2 linked regions of the Kluyveromyces lactis genome follow. The protein of the gene in region 2 interacts with the protein of the main gene of each other region in a pairwise test. Links are inferred from orthologs where the notes say so. Each region holds a gene or a part of one and is shown on either strand. Other genes may lie near its edges.

Region 1 (2,367 bases), on a different chromosome or scaffold from region 2:
GGTTGATGTTGAAGTTGTTGAGAAGACTGAGAGGAACCTGAACCAGATCCACTGTTCCTCTTCACGATTTCCAACAAATCCAATCTGAGTTGCGCATAATTAGATTGGAATTCTTGTAACTTTTCATTTAACGTCTGGTGTAAGCCTTTCATAGTCAACACTAATTCTTGTTCCGGTGCTTGTTCTTCCGTGTCAACAAATTTGTTTATGCATGTCTTAAGCCTCACGGCACTAATGCTATCAGGACATAACTCCTTGCAATCGGCAAGTGTGATTTCAGATAACGTAGATCCAGTTATCTTGTTCTCTCGTATTCTATCTAGGATGAATGTATCTCCGTCCGTTAATCCAAGTTCTGCTTTGACTTTCTTGCAAACCTCCTCAGTTGACCATTCATTTGTACCGCTCATTATTTGTTTTTGTTTCTATGCCTGTTCTTAAGAGATGTAAAAACACAATTGAATCACTGGTTAGCCACTGATCAATATGCTTCTGTTGGCTCAATGATATGCTCCACAGACTGAGCTGTTCCCCGGATCTCCTTTCATCAACTTTCTGGTATCACTTGGTTTTATTCAAATAATCGATTAAGTTTAAATATAGATTTTCCCATATTGTCGGAAATCATAAAGAAATGACAAGGAACCCTGCGAATATTCTGACATAAGATTCCTGGGGAACGGGGTAATCCTGTTACTACATTCGCGCTAGAAGTATTTCGATGCAATCGTAACTTTGATTCATTTATTTACAGGACATACGTGTGGAAAATATACAACTATCTATCATTCCAACGGCCATGGTTTATACTCTTTCTTTCCAAATGTCATCGGAGGTACCTTTCCTTTCTTGGTTCTTCTGCCACTGCTCTTTGTGCCATTCCTGTACCTTCACGGGATCTTTACTATGGATCACACAAAACTTAAATTTCTCGAATTCTTTCAGACATTCGTTCATGTGGCCATGTCTGTAGTAATTTCTAAACTGACCTCCTAAACTGAAACATCCTGTTAACTGATCAAATGCATCAGTGCAAGACATTGTTGTTGGATAATTAGATGACATAGTGTTGAATATCGTTTACAGTCTATGATATTTTCTATTTGGTAAGTAGCTGTGGTAATGGTCAAAACTGGGCGGACTGGTTTGCTGCTTCCGTAATCAACCTCCTTCTTTCGTTTTGTAGATTGCTCTTTATTGACAAAGATGTTTAAGCTGTAAATTATAGAATTTTGGATTTTTTCAACTAGCTTTCTGCAAGAAGCCGATGAGCCATGCTATCGTAAAGAGAAAACAACTGGAAACTCGCATTTGTAATCACCATCGGATCTATTGTTCAGCTTTCATTATTTTGTTGATAGGTATAATTCTTAAAGTTTTACCACTCCATAATTGTTTCACACTTTTGATGCTCTCAAGAAGTTGTTCAAGGATTTTATCTTTAAACTTATCAAAGCAATTTTACAGAACAATGAATAGCACCGGTAAATGGAATCCGAGTTTGACTTCAGAACAGCTAAGAGTACTACGTGATAAGGGTACGGAGAGACCAAACACAGGAAATTACTTGCACAACAAACAAACAGGGATTTACTCATGTGCAAATTGCGATTTGCCTATTTATAAGAGTGAGACGAAGTTCGACTCAGGCTGCGGATGGCCTGCGTTTTATGATGCTATACCGGGATCTTTAACTTTTACTCGCGATGAATCGTTTGGGATGGTTCGTATAGAAATATGCTGCAGTAGATGCGGTGGTCATATGGGGCATGTGTTCGAAGGGGAGGGATGGCAGAAAATCTTGAATTTGCCAACTGACCAAAGACATTGTGTCAACAGTTGCAGTTTGAACTTCAAGGAAGGTTAGTGCTCACCAGATTAGGCAAATAGTTGTAGGTTTGCAATTATTTAGCTCACTTAGTTATATTAGGTGTACAATATTACACAATTAAAACAGATGGCTCTACGGTTTTTTACGCTCCGCCAGGAGATCGCATCAATTCTTAATTTTATTGTTATCGCTAAATGGATCATTGGGCTGAGCGGCTCCACCTCTAGATGTGTACGAAGGTATTGATGCCTCATCAGAAATGTAAGCTTCGTTGTCCTCTTGATCATCTTCATCACTGTCACGTTCATTCAAAGAAGCCATGTCTCCTTCTTCGGCTAATTGGTCAAATGCCATCAATGCATTGACCAACTCCTCGTTAGCATGGAGTAAAGCACCTAAAAGTTCACCACCGGTAATCAGTTGCAAATAACGTAGAACCTTCCTTCTCAATGCTCTTGCTTGAACGAATTTGGCCGTACACAGCTCACTGTCGGTGGACTTACTATGAGCTGGAATTGCCAACAAAGCATTCGATA
Region 2 (3,524 bases):
ATAGTCGAACAATTCACCACCTTCAACATATTCCAATACCAAATATAACTCAGATTTGTTTTCCCATACCTCGTAGAGACCCATCACATTGGGGTGCGAGATAAGCTTCATAATGATAATCTCACGTTCGATCCCATATGGCAGCTGTTTGATCTGGTTCGACTTAACGAATTTTTTGGGAACTATCTTAATCGCTGACAGTTTCCCCGTTTCCATATTCTTTGCTAGACGAACTCGACCCGATGACCCTTTCCCCAAAGTCTTACCCAATTTCCAGGGACCTACCGTATCGCGGTTTCTCCTCTTCGAAGTCTTGGTATTATTAACATTAGCATTCGACGATGCAGTCGAAATCTGTGAAAGACGCTTAGTAGCGTCTGTTACTGACTGAACAACCCTATTCAAATGTTCATTATTTGCACGATATGGGACCTGGCCGTGACTAGAATTATCCTTCATTGCCACAACGGCAGCTTGAACAGCACACGACATCTAGCACAAACAAAGCAAGCGAGTGAAATTGAGAAAGCAAAAGAGCAGAAGAGAGCGTGTGTGAGTGTTTAAGTATGATAAGCGAATGTAATGATTGGAAAATAAACACACTCTGTGATCAAATCAATGATTCTTCTTCTTCTTATTATTATTAGTATTCTTCTTCTTCCTTATAATTCAAATGGTAGACCTAGCCTTGTAATTTGCAGTTCCAGCAGAGCGACAAATCAGCGTTACTGATGATGTTAACGTTGCTTGGTGTCTTCTCTCTTGGATGTTGTTTGGTTTCAAATTCTGATTCAAACATTGTTATGTGTGCATATATTTCATGAAAGGGCTTTATTTGGTAAATAGTTGAAGTCATTCTGCACGACTAGTAAATACTAGCAAGACGCGAGTTTGAGCTTTGTTCGCGAAGACGAAGACGCGAAAACGCGAAAATTGGCAGAAGCAGTAAAGTCGAGAACATGGCAAGTTCAACTTGCTGTGATAGATTTGAACCAGGGCTTTCGGCGCTGGTTCAATAATTGTGTTGGTTGCTGCCAGTGTGCTGGCACGGGCACGGGCATCAGCACTTTTGGTTTATCTGAATGAAATATAGGCACAACCACGTGACCTTTGAATTTACACGGCCGAAAACAACTAGATATTGTCACGTGACCTTTATCAATTCTGTTGCCTATACGAACTATGACTTAAACTTATCCATGATATCTTATAGCAACCATCTCGCACCACTCTCCCCTGAGAATAGTAACTAATTGATCTTCAACAACGCTTAATAACGTTACTATCCCTCGATATTCACACTCCGCTCCCAATTCAAGTCATATTTCGCTCGCTGTACAGGACTCTGAATTACTTTTAACGTCTATCGATCACAGTTTCTTCTTCTCCCCTATATTAAAGATAAAGACACTGATAACATAACAGCGCTCAAAGAGACAAACACCATCCGAAAAGTGCAACCCAATGACAGAACACATCGAAATAAGCAAAGAAACTATCAACGCTCTAAGCGACGTCTTGAAACAACTAGCCGTCATTGAACCTAGGTCAAGAGACGTTAACAACCAAAATGACAAGGTTACCAAGAAGTCGACTAGTAAGCAAAGCCAATTCTCGAACAAAGCGACGTTCAGAGAGTACTCGCAAGAGTACATAGATTTCACATATGAAAACCCTACCATTTACCACGTCGTCAAGTATTTTGCCAAGAAATTGGAAGAGAATGGCTTCGGTTATCTCAGTGAAAAGAGTTCTTGGTCCAACGTTGAACCGGGCCATTACTATACGACCAGAAATGGTACAAACCTCTGTGCCTTTGCGGTGGGACCCGAATGGAAACCTGAGTTAGGTGTTGGTATCATTGGTGCCCATATTGACGCCTTAACTGCGAAGTTGAAACCTTCTTCTAAGAAACCTGATGTGGAAGGATTCGAATTGTTAGGTGTAGCTCCATACGGTGGTACTTTAAATGAACTGTGGTTAGACAGAGACCTTGGGATCGGTGGTCGTGTCCTAATTAAGGACCCTGATACTGGTAAGATCAGTTCGCATTTGTGCAACTCGGCTCCACACCCTATCGCTAGGATTCCATCTTTGGCACCACATTTCGGTGCACCAAGTGTTGGTCCATTCGATAAGGAGGACCAAACTGTGCCCGTGATTGGCTACGTCGGTAATGGAGACTACGATGATGATGATGAGGACCACGACGTCGAGGATGAAAAGAAGAGCCCGTTGTACGGCAAACATAGTATCCATTTATTGAGATACATTGCCAAGTTACTATCCGTTAAAGTGTCTGCCATTACGCAATTTGACTTGGACTTATTCGATGTGCAAAAGGGTACTTTCGGCGGTCTTAAAGACGAATTCATCTTTGTTCCTCGTATTGACGACAGAATCTGCTCGTTCAGTGCCATCAATGGGTTGATAGAGCACAAGAAGACTGGCCATAAAAAGGATGGATTTAACGTCGCAGTGCTTTATGACGACGAAGAAGTTGGATCGTTGACAAGACAAGGTGCTAAAGGTGGATTGTTAGAATCAGTGGTCGAAAGAATCGTTGCTAGCAGGGGAAACGACGTCTCTGAGACGCGTACGGCATTCGCCAACTCTATCATCATCTCTGCAGACGTCACACACATGTTAAACCCAAACTTCAACTCAGTATATTTAGAGAACCATAAACCAAAGCCAAACGTTGGGATCACCCTTGCATTGGATTCCAACGCTCATATGGCTACAGACGTTGTTGGGACCGCATTGGTGGAAGAATTGGGTAGATTGAACGGGGACAAGATCCAATACTTCCAAATCAAGAACAATTCCAGATCTGGAGGCACCATTGGTCCTTCTTTAGCATCCCAAACAGGTGCTAGAACCATTGATATGGGTATTGCTCAATGGTCAATGCATAGCATTAGAGCTACAACTGGTAGTAAAGATATCGGCTTGGCAGTTAAATTCTTTAACGGATTCTACAACGACTGGAACCAAGTCTACCAATCCTTTGGTGATTTGTGATTAAAATCATAACTCACCTCCATTTCTATAAACCCCTACTACGGTTACTAATCTTACTGAAATATGATCGTCCTAATGAATTGGGCCCACATGTCTGAATTTGAACTATGAATCTTATACGCAAAGACATGCAATTCATACCTCATCATAGTACTACATAACAAAACTATACCAGTTACACCAGATACAGGATGGCCCTACGAATTACAACCTCCATCAGGACAACTCAAACCTCTGGTCCTTTGGTCTTCTCTGTTTCAAGCCTTTATGGATCACACTGTATTTACATTTCTAAAACTGGTAATTATAGTAACAAAAAAATTTTTGTGTTATATAAATAAAGAACACATATGGTATAAATATAAACTGGACTTATTCACTCAGGGTTTTATGCCAAGCGTTCGAAAGGAAAGAAGCTAACAAAGGATCCAGTAACTCTAAAGTGTTCCAGCGGTAGCATTAGAAAAGACGCTGAGGCAAGATAGTTTAGGAACGCGATA

Evidence for each region.
Region 1: the proteins of APE1 (region 2) and MXR2 interact in a two-hybrid assay, tested with the Saccharomyces cerevisiae proteins (2 studies listed by BioGRID). The link is inferred for Kluyveromyces lactis from reciprocal best matches to the Saccharomyces cerevisiae genes APE1 and MXR2.

What each region holds. Positions count from the first base shown.
Region 1 is NC_006039.1:103,855-106,221, reverse strand, and holds MXR2 (peptide-methionine (R)-S-oxide reductase), read left to right. Parts: upstream 1-1,267; coding exon 1,268-1,867; downstream 1,868-2,367. Other genes in the region: STE50 (Ste50p), read right to left, coding at 1-410; EMI1 (Emi1p), read right to left, coding at 805-1,065; LSB5 (Lsb5p), read right to left, coding at 1,997-2,367. UniProt on the Saccharomyces cerevisiae protein: Methionine-R-sulfoxide reductase which catalyzes the reduction of methionine sulfoxide (MetSO) to methionine in proteins. Plays a protective role against oxidative stress by restoring activity to proteins that have been inactivated by methionine oxidation.
Region 2 is NC_006042.1:1,256,218-1,259,741, forward strand, and holds APE1 (metalloaminopeptidase APE1), read left to right. Parts: upstream 1-1,464; coding exon 1,465-3,024; downstream 3,025-3,524. Other genes in the region: protein kinase HSL1, read right to left, coding at 1-492. UniProt on the Saccharomyces cerevisiae protein: Resident vacuolar enzyme that catalyzes the removal of amino acids from the N-terminus of peptides and proteins. Also acts as the major cargo protein of the cytoplasm-to-vacuole targeting (Cvt) pathway.